Mus musculus: one gene and its partner. The protein of the gene in region 1 interacts with the protein of each later gene in a pairwise test. Links are inferred from orthologs where the notes say so. Each region holds a gene or a part of one and is shown in the gene's direction. Other genes may lie near its edges.

Region 1 (11,444 bases):
CAGTCGGTACTCTTCCCCACTGAGCCATCTCTCCAGCCCTCAGCTTGCTTTCTTATAGGATCCAGGATCACCAGCCCGGGGATGGCACCACCCACAATGGGCCTTCCCATTCTTGATCACTAAGTGAGAAATGCCTTACAGCTGGATCTCATGGAGGCGTTTCCTCAAGGAAGGCTCCTTTCTCTGTGATATCTCCAGCTTGCGTCAAGTTGACACAAAACCAGGTAGTAGAGGGAACCTCAAGATAATACCTTTATAATATCCGACTATAGGGCATTTTCTTAATTAGTTAAGGATGTAGGAGGGCTCGGACCATTGTGGGTGGTGCTCTCCTGGGACAGGTGCTCCTCTAAGAAAGCTGGCTAAGCAAAGCCATGGAGGGCAAGCCAATAAGCAGCACCCCTCCATGGCCTCTGTAACAGCTCCAGGCTCCTGCCCTGTTTGAGATCCTATCCCGATTTCCTTCTATAATGGACTATGATGTAGAAATATAAGCCAAATAAGCCCTTTCATCTCCAACTTGCTTTCGGTCATACGTGTTTCATCATAGCAATAGAATGCCTAACTAAGACACTTATTAATTTTTGAAATAAAGAGTTTTATTTTATGAGGACTTGTCTTCCCAATGCCCCACAGAATTTCATTTGTTTCTTTTAACTTTAGATGTGTCAGTGCTTTGCCTGTAAGTACATTGGGGTGTCATGTCATTCCTGGCTTCCTAGAGGGTCAGAAAAGGACATTGGTTCTCCAGGAACTGGGGTGACTAATGGTTTGAAGTCTCTATATTGGTGCTGGGAATCAAACCTGGCTCACCTGAAAGAGCAATAAACGCTCTTAGCTATTGAATCATCTCTCCAGCTCCCAGTATTGTGTTTTTAAATGAACATGATATTACTCAGCTACAAACCCTGTGACCTACAACAGTAACCTGTCTATAAGACACAGTGGCACAAGAGTGACACATGTTATGGAAGTAACTACATTGTGATAGGACGGAAGGCCCACTTCATGAGATGGATCTCTTATCTGACACTGTGAAAGTGACCAAGGACCTAAGACTAGGTAAGTTATGGACCTAGGGGGAAACCAAATACTATTATCCTGCTAAAGGAACATAGCAATAAAATGACTGCTAATAGCATACTTCTATACACATAGATAAGTGCCTAGCTCAACCCACATCAGAAAAGCTTCTTGCACAGAATGGGGAGATGGAGTTAACACAGAGACTCACAATTGGACAATGTGGCCATAGTGAGAGACTTTGGAGCACCCAGTCCTAAATGAGATGTGTTCATCAGCCCCCATAGCCTCAAGGCTCACAGATCTATACGGAAGAGGAGGCAAAAAGATTGTAAGAGTCAGAGGAGATGGATGACTCTAAGGAAACCATGTCTTTGAGACTCACTTGGACTCACAGAGACTGTGGAAGCACACGCAAGACCTGCATAGGGTCAAGCCAAATAGAGACCCATCACGGAGTGGGGGAAGCAGACATGGGCTCCCATGCGATAAGCTAGTTTATTCTTCATTCTGATGCAGGTCTTCTAGCCTGTATTAGTCTTGTCTAAGAGGATATGATGTGCCTTCCTCCTCCTATGAAGTCCAGGCAAAGACAGCTGCCATCCTAGACTGCCCCTCATTATCCTCAGCTCTGTCATGCTGCTTCACTTTTTTTTTTATTAAAAAGGGTTTATTTTAATTATGTGTGTATGTCTGTGTGTGTGCACATGTGTGTGTGTGTTGTGTGCATTCGAGTACCTATGCAAACCTATGGAGATGAGAAGACAGAGTGGACTCCCTCAGAGCTGGGGTTACAGGCATTTACAAGGATGCTGGGTTTGTTTTGTTGGTGGAGGGATCTGAACTCCCATCTTCATGATTGTGCGCAAATGCTCTTAATGGCTGAGCCATCTCTCTGGTCCCACACCACACTGCTTCATTTTCTTGAGGAGTTGAGAATCTTTTCAAAGTGGAGCACAGCCTCTTTGAAGGATGTGGTCTGAGGGTGGTGGCAAGATAGAGCTTTTGGTGTTGACTTAGAGCCGATAAAACAGATGACATTTTGTTTGTTCATAGATTTGTGAAGGTTTGATTTCTAAGGAATATTTAACATTTAAAAAAAAGATTTATCTATTTGGTATACAGTATTCTACACACATGTATGCCTGCACACAAGAAGAGGGCAGCAGATCTCATTATAGATGGTTATAAGCCATCATGTGGTTGCTGGGAATTGAACTCAGGACCTCTAGGAAGAGCAGACAGTGCTCTTAACCTCTGAGCCATCTCTTCAGCCCAATATTTAACATTCTTATGTGGAGATATGTCAAAACATTTAGTGTGTTATCATTGTATACATAATGAATACATAAGTGTATAATCACAGAAACAGGCTGGCATTTTTTCTTTTCAGTTTTGAGGGTGTCTTTCAGTGTTTCATTGGTTCCTATCCTCTTGTCTTCTTAAGGTACTTTAAATGTGATCCTTCTGCTGGCTGCTAAAAACTCATTGAAAAAAACATAATCTGCAGGAACACGGGAGAGCTGGAAAATACATCAAGTTACCTGACACAGACATAGAGAGACAGACACTTCATGTTCTTTCTCATAGGCGGATCCTAGCATGTAATGTTCATATGTTAGTGTGTATATAAGGTTCCAACTAGAAAGGAAAGGCTGCCCGAGTGGGGGGGGGGATTAGAGTCATGGACATGGTGATAGGACACAGAGGGCTATGGGCTTGGGGGCGTGCAGTTACGAGGTGCGGGGACTAGGGTTACTGGGAGAAGGGATGAGAAGAATTAACACAGACCAATATTGTCTGAAAATTCCATAGTGAAACTTAATATTATATATATACATATATTAAAGGTGTGTGCCACAATCCTCAGATATATATATATATATATATGTATATATATATATACACACACATATATACACACACACACACATATATATACACACATACATATGTAAACTAATATATTATATATTAATATTATATATTATTTATATTATCCCAGCTTAATATAGAATTTTGAAAGGCATAATCATAAAGTAATTTTAAATGTTAGCAATAGCCAGGTGGTGGTGGCAGCACACGCCTTTAACCCCAGTACTCTGGAGGCAGAGGCAGGAGGATCTCTGTGAGTTCAAGGCCAGCCTGGTCTACAGAGCAAGTTCTAGGTCAGTCAAAATTACACCCAGAAACCTTGTCTCAAAACAAAACAAAATAAAAGTAAGAAACTCTTTTTTTTTTTTTTTTTTTTTTTTGGTTTTTCGAGACAGGGTTTCTCTGTATGTGTAGCCCTGGCTGTCCTGGAACTCACTCTGTAGACCAGGCTGGCCTCGAACTCAGAAATTTGCCCTGCCTTTGCCTCCCGAAAGCTGAGACTAAAGGTGTGTGCTACCACGCCCAGCTAATAACAAGCTCTTGATGTAGTGGTACTGTCACTTTGGTGGCTGGCTATCTAAATTCAATGCATTTGAATTGTGTTAGTCTTGGAGGGAAATTACACACAGAAAGGTAGCTGGAGAAAAAAGAGAATAGATTAGACTGTCCAGAAACAACAGGACGATATTGGAAGGAAAACAGAGCTCAAGAGTCAGTTGGCGCCCGCCCTCCTGCAATTCCTCTGGCCGCGGTTTCCGCTCCCTTTCGCGCTCTGCGCTCCCAGGCAGCCCCGCCCAAGCGTAGCTCAGCTCTGATTGGCTCCTTTGAACGTCTACGTGCAATCGGATTGGCGGATCCCGGGAGCTTTACCGCGGCGAGTTTGAAACTGCTGGCACTCGGCCTCTAAGCTCCTGGAGTTGCTGCGTCCGCGCAGTCCGGAACTGCGGTGTGGCCCCAGCCGGGACAGAGAGGTATGGCGTGAGTCGGACTGGGTGCAGGCTGGGCCTGCGGGGGCTCCACGGGATCTGGGGGTTCCCCCGGGGAAGGGCAGGACATCCATGTGAGCCTGGGGATCCCTTGTGGACGGGTAGGGCCTCCACGTGAGATCTTGGTCTCCTGTGGACGGGTAGGGCCTCACCTAAGTCCGGGATCCCTTATGGTCGGGCATGGCCTCCCTGAGCCCGGGGTCTGGGGTACCCTATGGATGAGCATGTCCTCATCTGAGGCCAGGGTCCCCTATGCAGGAGCATGGCCTACCTGAGCCTGGGGACACTATGGAGGAGCAGGGCTCACCGGAGCCTGGGATCCCTATGGGGGGGGGGGGCAGGGCTCACCCGATCCAGCGGTCCCTTATGGAAGGGCAAGGCTCACTTGAGCCCCGGGTCCTGCGGACGTGCAGGCCCCTACGCGAGCTCCAGGTTCCTGCAGACTGGATGGGCCTCGCTGGAGTGGGCCCGGGTGTGGGCGGGGTGCCAAGTTATGTCCCAGGCCCTGTTGGCTGCCAGTGTGGAGCTGGGCTGCACCAGGCCAGCTGCCTTCGGAGGCCTTAAGTCGGTACTGCCGGAGAAACAGACCCGTGGTCGTTTAAAAAGCTTATTCCTACCAAGGTGCAGAACCAAGAAAGTGTAGGATCGTTTATTTTTAGTTGCCTGTGCTAAGGCCACAGACTGTACCCAGGCAAAGAAGGAGAGAGAGGGAGAACCGCGGATGCCTTCGCGTCCTTGATCGTCTTAAAACATAAATACCGATGAAGGTTCTGATGTGCGGGCCACCATCGCCTGCCCCCAACTTGGATACACTGGGCAGCTTTTAACAGCAGGCCCGGGAGACTGGAAAATGTTGGAAGGAAATAAGCCCAGCTTTCAAGACATGTTAACTCTTTGCTGTCTGTGCAGAGGTGGTTGAAACGTTTAATGCTCTATAGTTATATTAAGTCTCTGTATTGAAGAAAGGGGGTTGGGGGGGGATGCGTTGAAATTTCCTAAACATAATCTCCATAGTTGAGAGTCAATCTTATGTGTCTGAGAATCCCCAGGGTTCAGTGGGATGCCTGGCAGGACCCTTGGACGGGTTTACATTTTCCTTCTGAATTTTTATCTGTTGAGCCGCTGCCTCCTTGTGCAGTGCCAAGAGCTGGGATTCCTGGCTGTGCCCCCACACCCCATGGAGTTGATTTTACTGTGGAAAGAGATCTGTAAGGAACAGCTCACGAGAGGTCAGCCATTCCTTGATGCTCATTCATAAGGATCTTGTCACCCGTGGCAGAGGGCTTTCAAGGAGAAGGCACACCTTTTTCCTACCATTCTTTGTGAGCCAAGAAATTGTTTCTCCCTTGTTCGTGATATTTTTCAAAGCATGATTAGCAAACACACTGTCTTAGCGTTGTTGGGATGAAACACCATGACCAAAGCAAAGGAACTTGGGAAGGAAAGGGTTTAGTTGTCTTGTACTTCCACGTCACAGTTCGGCCTCAGAGGAAGTCTGGACAGGAACCTGGAGGCAGGAGGCCATGGAGGGGGCTGCTTCCTGCCTTCTTTCACATAGCTTGCTCAGCCTGCTTTAAGAACACAGGACCCTATATGCCCACGGATGACCCCACCCACAACGGGCTGAGCCCGCCCCCATCAATCTCTAATTAAGAAACTGACCTAAAGACTTGCCTCCAGCCCCATCCTATGGGAGCATTTTCTTAACTGAGGTTCTCTCCTCTCAAGATGACTTCAGCTTGTGACAATGTGACCTGGCCTAAAGCTAGCCAGCACAGCACAACACCTTCCATTCTTTCTTCTAAGGTGCTTATGGACATTTCTTTCTCTTTGAGTACCTTGAGTGGGATTGTCTGTGGCTGCTTTTGGGAAGCATTCAATTGAATGATTTTTGTTTTTTGTTTATTTCCCCCGAGACAGGGTTTCTCTGTGTAGCCCTGGCTGTCCTGGAACTCACTTTGTAGACCTCGAACTCAGAAATCCGCCTGCCTCTGCCTCCCAAGTGCTGGGATTAATGGCATGTGCCACCACTGCCTGGAGAATTGAATGCTTATAAGGTAAACAGATGCTTTTATTAAAAACAACAACAACAACTGTTATTCCTAGTGGTTGGACTTTACAGTTGTACTTTGTTTCCTTTTGAAACAGTGTTGCAGCGAACGAGGCCACAGGTTGGCCTTGAACTTGTTCTTCCCTGTGCTAGGATTACATCGTGCACAACTTCCTTCTCGCAGACTCTTATTATTTTAAGAAAAACTAAAACAGTACACCATTTTAGTACGGTAGTAGTGTGCTGAAATTCAGCCCTGGGGATCAGGGCCTTTTGCTTTTTTTGGTAAATTTTGAGACATAGTGTCACTAAGTTGCTTTAGCTAGCTGTGTATCAGTCTCCACAGTGGCCGGCTTGACAGGCCTGCTTGCTTTGTGCATGTGAAGGGGCTAAGCCCTTGGCTGTGTAGAATATACAAACGCAGTGTCTGAGAAGGCTCAGAATGGCTCACTTGCAAGAACAGCTAAACCCTAACAAGACCATCTGACCATCTGGGATGACTGACGTTTGCCGGCTACGCGGGAGGCCCTGGAAAAGATGTCTTCCAGATGATGCTTAGACTGTTTTTGAGTTAGTAGCACGGAATCACAGCACTGTTTCCCCTCATTTTAGGGTCCGTCGTAACCTGTTGAGTAACTATGGAAGACTATATCAAAATAGAGAAAATTGGAGAAGGTAAGTGGTTTTAGCAGAATGTTTTTTGAAAAGAAGATAACAATGCTACTGTGGAACACAGAAACCTTTACTGAGTGCAGTCGTAGATGCATCTGTACGCGTGCGCATGAGTGTGCTGTGAGAGTTGGTGTTTGTGGCCTCCTAGACAGGATCTGGGATCACTCTGAGCACACCTGTAGGGGATTGTCTTTGACTCTATTAATTGACGTGGGCAGGAACCTCCCCCAGTGTGGGTGCCTTCCTTGCCTGAGATCCTGGACTGTGTGACTGGAGAAGGGTGTCAAGCCACAGTGAACCTCACTCTCCCACTGCCTGTGCTCTTGCTGCTGCTGCTGCTGGACTCTAACCCCGATCCTGAGTGCAAACAAACCCTTCCTTGGGCTACTTTTGTCTGGGTGTTTCTCACAGCACCAGCAAAAGGAAGGCACGCAGCTGGGCGTGGTGGCACACACCTTTAATCCCAGCACTTGGGAGGCAGAGGCAGGCGGATTTCTGAGTTCGAGGCCAGCCTGGTCTACAAAGTTCCAGGATAGCCAGGGCTATACAGAGAAACCCTGTCTCGAAAAACAGAAAAGAAAAAAAAAAGAAAGCATGCTTTACGGATAACCTGAAGCACAAGGTGCTTCTCCATCAGGAGGGTTTTAGTTATCCTGATTCTTGCTAAGGACCCTAGGGCCTTGTGCTCTAGGCTATTGAACTGAGTACCCCAGATGCTTGTGTTTGGGGTGCAGGTGTGCTGGGGGAGTCGACTAGGGAGATAATCTATGCTAACTTCACAGTACATTTTAGTCTTTCTAAGTACTGGTTCTGAGTTTTATGTAAGCTGGGTGGTGGTCTGTGTGGTCACCGTGGGCAAGAATGACTAGTGGCTGTCACATGGTGTTCAGTCCCCTTCTGTAGTATTTTAAACAGTGCTGAGGCCTATGGGACATAAGGAGGAATGAAAAGAACCCTTTCCTAGTCCTCTCTATTGTTGTTTTCTTCTCCCCGCAACAGAATTTCCATATTTCTATGTAGGAGTCAAGACTTCATTCTTAGCTCTCCAGGAGCAAACAGAGGAACTTGTTTCTGTGTGGCTTCTGTTGAGGGTTGTTTTCACCAATGTTTAGAGACCCTGCTTACACAGGGCATGAAAACCAAGGCAGGGGACTTAGCAAACCAGGAATGGCCCTGGCAGTGTCTGGTGCGCCTCTGGGGCTTTCTCTTTTTAATGTGACAACATCTCTTCAACTGTCTCCTTCCTTGGTAACACCTTCCCCTCGCCAGTGACATCCACTGCCACTCACCGGTCCAGTTGGGCCATTCCCCCTTTTTGATGACCTTAGATAGGACTTTCTGAAGCCATCCCCTCCTGGGCTCACTCTTTAACTTGTTCTAGAGCAGTGGTTCTCAGCCTTCCTAACACCACAACCCTTTAATACAGTTCCTCCTGTCGTGGTTACTCCCCAGCCATTAAATTAGTTTTGTTGCTTCTTCATAACAATTTTACTACTCTTATGAGTCATAACATAAGTATCTGATATGCAGAATATCTGATAATGTGTGCCTCTCCAAAGAGCTATCGACCCACAGGTTGAGAACCAATGTTGTAGTTGAAGGATTTATTCATTTTCTTCCAGGCAGCCTCGGTATTCCCAGTTTGCTCTGGGCCTCGGGCACCTCTCACAGCTTTTCAGCTGTGACCTTTGACCTGCTTTTCTGAATTCTCTGGCCTAGAGGCTTGTCTGCTACATTGTGCCTGGCTGTTCTGGATTCTCTGGGGGGGGATCCTGAATAGCGGCTTGTTGAAATAATTTGAAAATTACATACTGCTGTCGACGTTTTCTTCTGCCAATTCCAAGTACTCAGTGAAACCTGCGAATATGTGTTTGTCCCGTGTTAGCATTTTCTTACGTAGTCACCTGTGTATTGTTGGTCGCCATGCCCAGCAGGACAGAGAAGACTGTCTCGTCTTCAGGTTACACAGCTGCCTGGCTCCATGTGGTTGGTGGGGCCTTCCTTGGCATTCAGTAAGCACGCTAGAAACATTTGTTTTTGATGAGGTTTAATGGCTTTTACCAGGCAGTGTTATCAAGACTTTACCCAGGATAACTGGGATCTTACTCTTGCTTTCACTTGTATGACATTTGCTAAAATTCAGAGTGTGTGTGTGTGTATGTATGTATGTATGTATGTGTATGTTTGTGCGCGCTCATTCACACAGGTGTGCATAGCCCATGGAGGCCAGAAGTGTTACCTCCTCTGGCATTGCATTTACAGGAGGCTGAGCCCTGGTGTGGGTCCTGGTCCTCTGCAAGGACAGTGTGGTCTAAACCCCGAGCCTCCCCAGCCTTACCTGATACTTTCCCCTCCTCAATTATTACTTAAAATACTTCAGGATCTAAAACAAATGTTTAATTTCAGAACATCTACTGTTTAGCTTATGAATAGTGCCCTGTTGCAGTTAACTGAGAAGAGCCAGGAGTTGAGATACTCAGAACAAGCAGTTCTGTGTTGTCTCCGAATCAACGGTTACTGGGTGTTGACTGCCATTCCTGAGTTCGTTCTGCACATTTGTCAAGAAATGCAGCAGGACACCGGGAGGGAACAAGATGCCAGAAAGAATCCTGGATTGACCATTGCTTACCTGACTAACTGTGACTGCTAGGATAGTGCCAGCTTGCTCGTGGCTTCAGACAAGCATGATATCCACCATTCAGGAACATGTGAGCTCACAGATTTCCTGTGGCTTCGCAGACAGAATGTTGTCGGTTCTTTTTATCTGGAATAACTTGATTATTTAATCCCCTAGGATTTTATTGGAAGTAATATTAAAATAACTGTAGTGTTTAGGAAAACAAACAGTCCTGGAATTTAAAGAATGCTGGAATAAAGCTTATGTGGGCAGCAAGCTGCTTAATTTTCTAAGCAGTTGATTGCTGGGATGGAGTCTTAGAGCCAGTAAATGCTGTGGAGTAGCTTTTACGTTTGGAGGAAGCTGCTCTCACCCTTTGGTGCTTTTAGACAAGTTCTAACCTTGCCTCAGCTTTTCCCCAGGGATAGGATTACAGGCATGTAAACGTGGGGACCTTTGACTTCCAAGACGGGGGTCTTACTAAGTTCTCCACGCTTGTCTCCAACTTGTAATTCTCCTGCCTCAGTCTTACAAGCAGCTGTGTGTCACCAGGCCTGCTGTTGTAGTCATTGCTGAAGCTATACCATACCATGAAAAGCTTTTCAACAAAGTTCATAGATAGCTAGGGAATCCGCACCTGAAGAGTAGCAGGGGTGTGAGACACCTAATTAGCGTACCTCTCTGTGTCTGCCACAGCCCATGCTGTCCTTTCTTCCTGCCTTTGCTGGTCAAGTGACTTCACCCAGGTTAGTGTTTCCCACATCCCAGTGGGTAGACCCACTCTAGTACAAGATAGCAGCTTTATTGGGTTTAATACAAATGCATGGTGCTTCTGTCTCCACTCTGCCGGGTGAGGACAGGTGGTTGTGTTTTGAGATGTGTAAGGTATCAAGGAAGTCCTAAGGCAGTCCAGTTTTTTGGAAGTTTCACAGTGCCTCCTCTTGGTACTGATTTCCAATCTTAAGTTTTTAATGTAGCGACTACATGCAGGATATTTGATAGGTGAATTTCAACCTGATCCATGTCCTAATGTTCACGTGAAGGAAGCTTAACTGGGAGGGAGATGTAGGATGACTCAGTGGGCTTTATTTCCAAACCATGTATATGTTAGATCGTAGTTATCTTCAATGCCTTTTTGAAAGCAGTGAGGGTTTAATGATGTGAGGGGCCTATCTGACTGCAGCTGGCATTTCTCTCGTGTGATACTCAAAGAGTTCAACTTAGAAGAAAATCTCTTTGCTTTCTTTCAGGTACTTACGGTGTGGTGTATAAGGGTAGACACAGAGTCACTGGCCAGATAGTGGCCATGAAGAAGATCAGACTTGAAAGCGAGGAAGAAGGAGTGCCCAGTACTGCAATTCGGGAAATCTCTCTATTAAAAGAACTTCGACATCCAAATATAGTCAGGTGTGCTGTGTTAGAACTGAAGCCACTCTCCCTGTGCTGCTGCACATCTGTTTTAAAGTAGAAATTTTTATGTACTTTCTGGTTCAAGTGGGATGGAGTCCTGCTTTGCTGATGGTGTTTGGAGAATTTGAGACAGGGTGCTAGAATTGGCTAGAGGAGCAAGGCACAGCCCTGGGACCCCTTCCATGGGGAGCTTGCTTAGCTCCTACTTTTAGGGCCCAGGTCCCCAGAGGCTCCTGAGACCAGGGGCCAGGCTGAGGTAGATAAGCTATGCTTTATTGACTTGCTTGGGCTGGGTCATTGAGGACGTTGTCTGGTGGTTCATTAGAATTTCTGTTGGTAGGAGGGACTGAACCCAGGCCTTTGGGTAGAGCTAAGAAAGTGCTCTACCACTGAGCTGTAGCCTCTGGCCTCCTAATATGGGGTTTTGAAATTATTAAGACAGGATATTACTCTAGCTCACCCAGGTTGGCCTGGAATTTACTGCTGTCCTCTAGCTCCCAAGTGCCGGGATTATGGGTTTAAACCACCGCACCCAGTCTCCAGCACTCACAGAATTACCCAGGGTGACCTTGTGCTCACTCCATCCTTTGCATCTAGAGATCCTTGCCTTACTTAGCACCTCTGGTAGCTGGCGTGACCTGCCTCTGCCCCTGGGTTCTAACTGTTGTTGCACTGGGGCTGGCACTAGGGAGCAGCTTTAATCTTCTCGAGCAGCCAGCTTTAGGAGTGCAGGCGGTGTGAGCTAGCTCCTCCTGCAGAGGAGGCTGTGGACTACTGTCCTGAACTTCCGTCCTCAAGTTCTACTTGAGAG
Region 2 (10,827 bases), on another chromosome or scaffold:
CTTTTAGGTATTCAAATTGGGATGTTCAGTTGGTCAGGTCTATGCAATCCTTCTAGCATCTTGAAACTGAAAAGCATTTGGCCCTAAGCTTTTGGGATCATACCACAGGGTTGCTGGCTCTACCTGTAGAGTGTTCAGGAACCATTACCTTCATGGTAAACTCTCAACTTGCTCTTTTAGATTTACTTGGCATTAAAGTAGGTCAGTCCCCATTTCCGTACTTTTGCTCACTGCAGGCCTTCCCTGATCCCCACGCTAACTATGGACTGGTGCTTTGTGACTGCTGTAGATGTTAATGCAGCCTTCCTTACTCTGGGGCAGATGCTCTTGTTGGGCAGGCTCAATTTCCATTTGTACAATTTTAAAAACTAAGCTTGATAAATTTCCCTTCACAGGCTACCTCTGTCGCGAGTGAATTGTTCCCAGTTTCTCGGTTTATGTGCTCTTCCAGGTAGGTGAGAACACTCGATGGCTTCCTACTAATATGAGGGCAGATCTTGGTGAGCTGACGGGTGGCTCAGTGCATACAGACCGGTGAGCTTGTTTAGAGAAGCCTTCAGGAACACCTTCTGCATCCAGGGCTACATTTCTAACTTTCCCAATTCAGTGGTACAAATGAGGTTAAGACCATGGCCAGGAACTCCTGCTCCTGGACTCCTTTAGTGAAATTTACCAGTCTCCACAGCTATGTTTCTAAGAGTCAGAAATTAATATGTACAGTTAAAATGGAATTGAAACATGAATAGCCATGTAAAATGACTTTTTACAGTAGCATGTACATATGTTCAAATATGCTTTCTTATACAACTGATTGTAAAAAACTGATTATAAACAACTGATTCGTTTTTTTACTTGCCTTATCTATAGGTTGTAAGTTTAAAGATGTTAGAAGAAATATTCAGAAAGATACAGGTAGGTTCACTGTGACAAAAGCCTACTACTAGTCTTGTTTTAAGCCTGAAATCTGTCAAACTGTATTCTCTTCTCAATATATAAAATAAATTCTTTTGGCATCTCTGTGAACTTCTCGAATGTGAAGAGGTATCTGTAACAGGCCGAGGAGTCATCATTTACATGAACACAACTTTTTCGCAGTCCTAGTTATACACACATGGCAGACTATGTCTGTTTGAGGGAGAAAAGTATGTAAATAGAAAACCTGCCTTTGACCCCAGCAAAGAGACAGGCAGATATCTGTGTATTCAAGGCCAGCCTGGCCTCCACAGCAAGCTTCAGGCCAGCCAGAGGATAGCAAAAACAAAAAGGACAAAAAGAGACTAATCCTTGAATTGACCCTTGTGGAATTTACAAATATGTCCTGCATTTGGTACACATACAACGATAGTAGTTAGCTTACATGTTTCATTTGGAGGACATGTAAGTTATAAGCAATACTATTTAAATCATTGGTTCAGAACTACTATTACACATTTTAGAATTTCCTATTTATTTAGCAGCTTTTATAAAAAGAAGATTCTAGTTTTTTCATTAACTTTTTTTTTTTTAAACAATGAAGTCACACATAAAATCCATTATATAGAACAGATCAAAATACCTGGTGAGGAAGACCTAGAATGTCCCTGAAAGCCACCATACAGCGGACAGAAGACATTATAGAAAATTACTCCCTCTTCTGAAAGCTTTACTAACTTAACTACATGTTAAAATTATTTTACAATTGTAAAAATATACAATGTTTAGGCCACATTGCCTTCATTTCCACCTTCCTTCTCTCTTTAGATCTTTTCCTTCCCCCACATAATCTCTGTTCTACTTTCCTATCATATATATTATCTATATTACATTATATATTACTAGGAATATCATATATATATAATACACACACACATATATATATCTCCACACGAGAGAAAATATAAAATCATGCAAATTATTAGTAAAATCATTTTGATCTTTATTCTCTTTGCCGTTAAAACAAGGTGTATGAAGTGTACTTCAACTGACAAAACTTTGTACTTAGACTAGATGAATGTTGACAGTTGGGGCTGGGAATTATTTATTTTGAAATGAATAATCCAGAATGAATAGTGCCGTAAAGAAGGTCCAGAAGCTAGAGAGTGGTTAAAAGTGGGTGCTGCTTTTGCAGATGACCAGTATTCAGTTCCCAGAGCCCACATCGGGTAGCTTAGGACTACCTGTAACCCCAGATCCCAGAGATCCGAAGCCCTCTGGCCTCCACAGGCACCTGCACACACGTGCATTTACCCCCATCCTGACATACATTTATATGCACAGTTAAAAAAGGAAAATCTTGGGCTGGAGAGATGGCTCAGGGGTTAAGAGCACTGACTGCTCTTCCAAAGGTCCTGAGTTCAAATCCCAGCAACCACATGGTGGCTCACAACCATCCATAACGAAATCTGATGCCCTCTTCTGGAGTCTCTGAAGACAGCTACAGTGTACTTACATATAATAAAATAAATAAATAAATAAATATTAAAAAAAAAGAAAGTCTTTTTTTTTAAGTTCCAGGATAAAATCTTATAAAAATACTTCTTGGTTCCCACTATTAAGATGAAAAGAGCTAAACCATATAAGGTTAGTGCAGCTAATGTCTTACTTTCTCGAGACCTAGTCAACAGAAGTAAATCCACATTAGTGTGGCACGGCACAGAACAGGGGAAGAACACAAGAGCTATGGCTAGAGATAATGTGATGCTTGCCTGAGTGTCAACATGACTGATTTCATAGGGCTAGGAGAGACTTAAAAATGATGCTATCTATTCCTTCTCAAGAGTTTAAATGTTAAGACAGTATTTATTGCAAGGGGGAAAAAAAACCTAAGTTTTTATGCAAAAATATCAATAACATCAGCCAATCACTTAAAAGCATTTTACTCACCAATCAATCTGGTTTAGTTCTAATCAGCTTTTGTTCCAGGTATTTTCATTAGGTATTTCACATTTACAAAGTTGCACCTGTTACTAGTTTGGTTGAAGAACATAACTCCCTATTCTCTCTCTTGATCGTATTTAAATGTGTCCTGTTTTATGCACGCGTCTGTGTGTGTCTTGGTCTGTTGGCAGAAGAACTAAAGAGCTACGGGATCCAAGACGTGTTTGTTTTCTGCACCAGAGGGGAGCTGTCAAAATATAGAGTCCCAAACCTTCTGGACCTCTACCAACAATATGGAATTGTCACCCATCATCATCCGATCCCAGATGGAGGGACTCCCGACATTGGCAGCTGCTGGGAAATCATGGAGGAGCTGGCCACCTGCCTCAAAAACAACCGGAAAACCCTGATACAGTACGTTCTTCCCTGGGTACCACACAGCAGCTCTCCCTCCTCTGCCGTCAGGACAAAGCCAATGCATGAGAAGAGCACGACAGGCCTGGGACCGAGGAAGGAAGCACTCATGAACTTCCTGCTTCCACACTTCAAGGGTACTACTGGCCACAAGCAGAGCTGCGAGTGTTTAGAGTAGAGACATTTCTCCTTTCCTCCTGTGGCATTGCTCCTGGTCTGTCGTGTCTCTTAACTTGTCATCTCAGCCTTTTCAGTAGCAAGGAAGTCACTTGCTTGTCTTTCAAAATTCACAGAAAAAAAAATTCCCTATTCAGTAAGTGGTCTTTTGAAATATGACTTCAATGGGCTATTAAGAGCATCAGTTGGCAAAGTGCTTGCCACTGAGGTATGAGGGCCTGAGGCTGACCCCAGCACCCATGAAAAAGCCTTGCATGGTAGAGTCCCATAAAAAACAGCATACCCATCATGAGGTAACCCAAAGGCAAAATTTCAGAATACACAACTGTGTATAATTTCTTTGTAAGTATATGTAAAATAGTATCAGATGTAGCTATTTAAAAAATAAGAGTGTTTAGGCCCATTTTTTGAAACAGATTCTAAACTTGTTTTTCAAAGATCCTAAAGCAACTTGTATCTTTGCAGATATCAAGGCAGTTGAGTTTAGTAAGGCTCAGGAAATTCTACCCCAAGCAGGTTCCAGCAGCCAAACTTCCTACCTGATGCTTAAACAGAAAAGCTCGGCGGATGGGTGATCCTGGATTGGGAGAACGCGTCAGGCTCCCCTAAGTGGTGGCTGACGGCTGGGCTTTTCCCTATTTCCCTACAATATGCTTTTGAGGATCTTTGAAGGTGATTTAAAGGAATGTTTTCCAGCTTTGATCGTTGTTTTCCTGGAAGGTGTAGTTTTGCAGAACTGTTTGGTGGTAGGCCATTTCCACTAGCATTCAGAGGTTTCTCTCTCCAGCCTGTGTTCTGAGCCCTTTATAAACACTGCCACGTGCAACGCTCACTCTGATACAGGTTCTATTAGTAACACCATCTCACAGATAAAAGAAAGCAAGCTCGAGGACCTTGGCCAGTGTCAGGACCCGAGCCCAGTCCTTTGTGACTACCTCTGTGCTTGCATCAGGGGAAGGAAGGATGATTGTATGTTGGCACTTGCTCCAGAACTACTCAGATTTTACCAAAAGGACAGAGTCTTGATTCCTACTTGTTCCGCTTCTCAGATGTAGGGTTTGGGGTTCAGTAGTCACTAAGGCCCTCTTTGACCCTTAGAGGAATTCAGAACACCTGACAACATGAATGAGCATGTACTGCTTCTGGTGATAACTCAGCAATGCTGATCTGAGTGCAAGGTGCTGTACCCAGAGTTGGAGAGGTAAACAGAAGGCAGAGAGAGTAAGTCTTGAGTTGTAACTTGGGAGAAAACGAAAATAAACAAACTTCAAAACTCTCTTTCCCTTTCAGTTGTTACGGAGGACTTGGAAGATCCTGTCTTGGTAAGAAATATATTTTCATTAACTGTTTAACTTCAAAGTAGGCAACTCCTGTTTGGGGACCTTACCTCACGCTATATAGAGAGGAGAGAAAAACCACAATATAAGTTTACCAAACCCAAACAAAGAAGGAATAATAGCAACGAAGTATAGTTATTTACTGTCTGTTAATTTTAAAGAGTGCTGCCAAAAAACAAAACAAAAAAAACAAGAAATGCCTCACTGTAGTAATTATTATAAAACAGTATAAACAAGATCCAAATTAACAACCTTTGTAAAAGAAAGAACATTGTCAAAATGAAAGGCCATATATAGAATAGGAAAAGAAAAATTGCACACCATGTATTTGATAAGGGAATATACAACTCAGTATACATAGACCAACGTGGCAATTTTAAATAGTGAGCAAAGGATCTGAGGAAACATGTCCCCAAAATACACAGGCAGACAGCACGGAAAGCGATGCCCCACAATGGCAGCCTGCAGGGTGGCTGTGGTGTGCAAAATCAGTGAGCAGCCCTAGAACCAGGAACCTGTGCTGCTGCTGCTGCTGCTGCTGCTGCTGCTGCTGCTGTTGCTGCTGCTGCTGCTGCTGCTGCTGCTGCTGGGAATGCAGCACAGTGCAACTGCTCTGCAAAGCTCTTCTTTTCCTCAGCTCCAGAGTTACCATGCCTCAAAACTCCACTCCTAGCTCCAGACCCAGGAGAAACAGAGCACACATTCACACAGAAATGTGTGGGCCACTGCTTATAGCAGCTGTGCGGCTAGACGAGGCTAACTTTCGGGAGTGCAGGATAAAGGGCCTCAGTCTTTTATCTTTCAGTCCGTGTGCTCACACTGGATGGAGTTTGCTGCAACGGAAGTCCAACTGACTATCAAGTCTGCAACAAAATCAAGCCAGTTTCTTAATAGTCCGTTCTTTTCTGTCATGTTCTCAGTAGCTGCTTGTCTCCTCCTATACTTGTCTGACTCAATCTCACCACAGCAAGCCATAGACAGCCTTCGAGATGTCAGAGGATCTGGGGCGATACAGACCATCAAGGTAAGAACTGGGCTGTTCTGTCTGCTGCATTGGTGGCCTCTTTCAAATACAATGCAATGGGTGTAAGAGAGCCATAAGCTCAATTTCCAAAGCTGTGATGCACATGCACACACACGTGTATACACACACACACACACACGTGTACACACACACACACACACACGTGTACACACACACAGGTTTATCTTTTCTACTTACAATTAAATTCTGCACTTTACCCTCTTAGGGATCTGCGATTGTTCAGCCTCTGTCCCAGTCAGTACCCATGCTGATGCTCAGACTCAGCCAGGAAATGGCTACTATAAACATTTTTCTTGGGTGGAGTTGTATCCCAAGCAATTTATACACCCTACTGTGCCGCTGAGATGTTGATGAATGCTGTCAAAACAGTAGAGCAATACTTTATTGTACGTTGCCATGGATACTGGATACCTTCCATTCTCCTAAACACTTGAGCAACAGGGCAGCAGTACCACAGGCTGTGACAAATCATGTTACCCAAGCCCACTGATGACACTGCTTGTGCACGCCTCTAAAGTTCATGTCTTACTGTGCCAGGTGCTCTGTCTAAGCTTTAGGTTGTCACCAGAGTGGTACTCAGGAGCCCTCACCCTTGGCTGCCTGACTCTGAGTCTGCCTCCCTGGGGTTAGAGGTCTAGTCCAGCTTCAAGTACCAAGACTTACTATACATTCACCCTTACCAGCCAAGCAACCCGCCTCTCAAGGTTTAAATATAGCCACTCACAAAATAAACCTTACCTGATGCACTTCTCTACACAGGCTCTGAAACTAGAGCTCCCTTTATTCTGTTAACATCAAATGCTTCAAATTTAGGAAGTTCCTCTTTCAAACAAAATCCAATCAGATAGGTATGAATTATACATGTGTCACATCTTCCGTGTCACCGAGAATGGAAGCCACACTAATATGGGTGTTGGGCCCATTACCTAGGTATTTTGTGGCTAAGGGGCCCTCACCACCTCTCCCAAGGAAAGCTAGCAGTACAGTTCATTATCAGGAATGATGGCTGTCAGAGCTATCTTTTGGAAAGATATTTAAACTTCAATAAACTGCTTAAAGTACTTAGCTTATCTATATAGTGGTTTGTTTTTTTAATTTTTTATGAAAATTATTCCAAATGGACTGTCATCAAAAGCACCAGTCACTCTTAGACTGTGTCATTGTTGTTACAAAGAATGCCCTCCTCAGTGTTCAGTGGGGGAAAAACACCAGCAGAAAGGTAGGCCCTTCCACACTGGACAGCAGATTCACTTTGAATCTTAGTCCCAGCAGCAAAGGACGGAGTCTACAGAATCTGCCCCTCCCACGCCTCCCGCAGCCAGCATCTCCTCCCCTTCCCAAGTCCAATTAAAGGTTCAGAAACATTTGCTCTTAGCTAAGTATGGAGTCTACACTGATCCTACTTTTCTGCGGTATATTCAACATATCTTTACTCTTTTTCAGCAATATAACTATCTTCATGAATTCCGGGATAAATTAGCTGCGTATCTATCATCAAGAGATTCACTATCAAGATCTGTGTCCAGATAATGAAGATCCCAAATAAACGAGCACATCTAGGGTCTCCAAGTTCTCCAGCATAGTCTGTATTGGAGCACACTGCGAGTGCTGCCACCATCGTGAACATAAGTGTTCTGTACAGATCCTCCTAATGCTTGAGTCATGAATTCGGTGTTGTATCACAGCAGAGGGCAGCAGACCTGGTACACTGTTGTCCAGCTAGACATACACTGGCTGTTCCATCTTACCTAGAGACAGTGCCAGGGAAGATGAATACTGAGGTGGCACAGTTTGCCACACTTCGGCCTCATTTGACTATCAGTACTAGGCACGTACATAGTGATAAAAATCAAGTGTTTGGTTGGGCAGTGCTAGCATACACCTTTAGTCCCAGAACTCAGAAAGGCAGGTGGATCTCTGAGTTCAAGGCCAGTCTGGTCTACAGCTTGAGTTCCAGGACAGCCACAGTGCTACACAGACAAATACTGTCTAGAAAAAAGAAAAGAACTTCCTGTAAGCACACTCGTATCTAACTTTAATGTGTATATACTTATGTGGGCACAACCACAACAGTTCATGCGGAGGTCAGAGGACAACATGCTAGAGTCAGCTCTCCACTTTCAGCACACGGGCTCCAGGATTAAATTCAGGTCATTGAGCTTGCTGGCCAGTGCTTTTATCAACTGAGCCTTCTCACAAGCAGACCCTGCTTCCTACTTTTCAGTAACTCTTACCCTCTTCTCCCCTGAAGATCTGATTTTTTTCTACTTCACTGACTTACAGAATTATAAGGGACTGTGAGTTTTAGAGTCATCTCCCTCCCAGAGCACCAGCACAACGCACCACCAAAAGATAGGCTCTTACTACATAGACCAAGTTAGTCTTGAACTCACAGAAATCCACCTGCCTCTGCCTCCCAAGTGCCAAGATTAAAGGCATATGTCACCATGCCTTGCCAGCTTCTAGAAGATTCTTATGAGAATACTAAGAAAGATGGGAGAATCACACACCACTAGTATCTAATGTTTAAGCCAGGGACTCAAATCAATCTCAAATGTTTGAGGCTTTGTTTTAGTACAGGCTACAATTATAGACTGGCCTTCACAATTCTGCTATTCCAATCAATTTTAAAATCACAGTACTTACGACGTTTTAGATAGTCACTGAAACTGGCACTAGCAAATCTCTATGTGGGCATGTGTATGGATATATATGGAAATCAGAGGTTCCTCAAGACCTGTCCACTGTGCTTTTTGAGATAGGGTCTCTCATTTGCTGGAGCTTACCAAGTAGGGTAGACTGTCCAGGAGCCGCAGGACCCTCCTGTCTCCAAGTCCCCAGCACTGGGACTACAAATACACATCAGACTTTTATGTGGGTATAAGGACCAAATACAGGCTCTCATGCTAACTCTACCCAACTGGACTCCCTCCACACCAGCAAATCCCGGTCACTCCCATCCAGTATAACACTTATGAGTACTTATGGAGGAAACATTTCATCTGCAACTGGATTTTCAGAGTATGCACCTCTCCGTTCCCACTGCAAGTGTCTTGTTAATCTGCTACAGTCAAAATGCTTGACTAAAATTTTAAAATCAAGCATACAGGAAAACCTTTAATTATCAGCAAAGGGAAATACGTTATTAGTCCTGAAACACACTTGTGTACTGAACTTTAAAGACTTGCAATGCAAACATTCTAAGGAAAGTATTTTTTCTGCCCAGACTATGATGTCCTGAAAGCAGTGCAGGCAGAGAAGGCAGACAATACAGGGACCTGGTCTTGTGCACGCCAATGTTAGCTGCATTTGAAATTGGCACAGACTCAACCACCACCCATCAATTACACAGGGAGTGCCTGAGGCAGATTTTATTAAATAGGCAAAAGCAAAAGGAGGAAGCTCTCAGGAGTAGGACAGGGCTAAGTAGAGAGTGTTCTTTGGACAGTAGTATAGCACTGACAAGCTTAGATTTTAACAAACCATGCACTACACAGCTAACTATATTTCACGATTTTCCGTGTTTTTCTAAGTTTTAGCATCTACTCAGTCATCGATCCATTTAAGAAACTCTCATTGCCAGAATACATGAGCATAATAATCAAACACATCTGTACAGTGAGTGGCACTGACATCTGGGAGACAGCCATTCTTCTGCATGTCTTCTACAATGTGTATCAAGAAAGTGAACGTAGAACAAAACCCTCGCACTACCTCAGACCCACTGCCTTGTGGCTAATACTTTGCAAAGTAAATGGAATAAAAGCTGTTATATACATTCCTTTCAGGTACTAGGTGGAGACACCTGTATTTTAGTCAAAGTAAATGGCTATGAGAAATACAGTCAACAAATCCAGCCACAGAACATCTTTCTCTGTAGGCATCACTCTGGGAGGCTGTTCAAAATCATGTACTACGTTACACTACTAAGAGATACTTAACTGCTGGTCTGGTTGCAAATCAATTGGTTTGAGTAACAGAGCTTATGGTCACTTGAGACTAACAGTACTAGATTATTCCAGTGAGGATGAACATTCATGAACAAGGCTACTCAGCACAGCAATAATTTCCTTTCCCCGAAAAAATATTTTTTCTTATGTAAATTTCTGGCTTGCAACTGACTTGATTATTGAGTTGTACATCTGTATATATGAAATGACAAATAATCTGAGGTAAATCCTTTCAGGTTGGAGCATTTGAATGGGCTGGATAAAATGCTACAGTCACACCTACATTGTGAGCTTACCCTGCAGGAAGAGATACACAGGAAGAGATCGTAAGTTGCTCACCAGTAATTATAGTCTAGGACCGCTATTAAAAAGAACACATGCCAGCCAATGGTGGAGCTCGTCTTGAAGGCAGAGGCAGGCAGATCTCAGAGTTTGAGGCCAGCCTGGTAGCCAGGGCTACACAAAGAAACACTGTCTTTAAAAAAAAGAAAAGAAGCCAGGCATGGTGGCAAGCGCCTTTAATCCTAGCACTCGGGAGGCAGAGGCAGGCGGATTTCTGAGTTCAAGGCCAGCCTGGTCTACAAAGTGAGTTCCAAGACAGCCAAGGCTACAGAGAGAAATCCTGTCTCGAAAAACCAAAAATAAATAAAAATAAAGAGAAAAGAAAAAGAAATCTACTTCCAGAAAACACTGGGAAGGCAAGTAAGACCACACAAACACTTGACCCTTCTAATCACAACCACATCTGGATGCTAAAACCTACAAGTGACACGAGCGGTAAATGAACCTCACTCTTCTCTAACAATCCTCATTTTGCGGAGGGGGGGGCGCTTTTTTTTTTTAGTCTCAAGTAATCATTAAGAAGATCCAAAACAAGAGGAAGTTTCTTAAAAGCTATAAAGTGGTGTCTGTTGAAAGAGCACTTGGACAAGAACAGTAATATGAAATCCCAGGAAATCTCTGCATTTTAACCTTGGCCAGGTCTCTCATGGTCAGTAGTCCTGATGAACAAGAGGGGCGAATGAGGAGGGGTTAGAAACAAATGACT

Evidence for each region.
Region 2: the proteins of Cdk1 (region 1) and Cdkn3 interact in a two-hybrid assay, tested with the Homo sapiens proteins (2 studies listed by BioGRID and IntAct). The link is inferred for Mus musculus from reciprocal best matches to the Homo sapiens genes CDK1 and CDKN3.

What each region holds. Positions count from the first base shown.
Region 1 is NC_000076.6:69,345,261-69,356,704, reverse strand, and holds the start of Cdk1 (cyclin-dependent kinase 1), read left to right. Parts: upstream 1-3,792; 5' UTR 3,793-3,869; intron 3,870-6,546; 5' UTR 6,547-6,572; coding exon 6,573-6,609; intron 6,610-10,473; coding exon 10,474-10,630; intron 10,631-11,444. UniProt on the Homo sapiens protein: Plays a key role in the control of the eukaryotic cell cycle by modulating the centrosome cycle as well as mitotic onset; promotes G2-M transition via association with multiple interphase cyclins.
Region 2 is NC_000080.6:46,764,129-46,774,955, forward strand, and holds the end of Cdkn3 (cyclin-dependent kinase inhibitor 3), read left to right. Parts: intron 1-395; coding exon 396-451; intron 452-867; coding exon 868-912; intron 913-3,047; coding exon 3,048-3,270; intron 3,271-4,737; coding exon 4,738-4,769; intron 4,770-5,704; coding exon 5,705-5,808; intron 5,809-7,272; coding exon 7,273-7,359; 3' UTR 7,360-7,393; downstream 7,394-10,827. UniProt on the Homo sapiens protein: May play a role in cell cycle regulation. Dual specificity CC phosphatase active toward substrates containing either phosphotyrosine or phosphoserine residues. Dephosphorylates CDK2 at 'Thr-160' in a cyclin-dependent manner.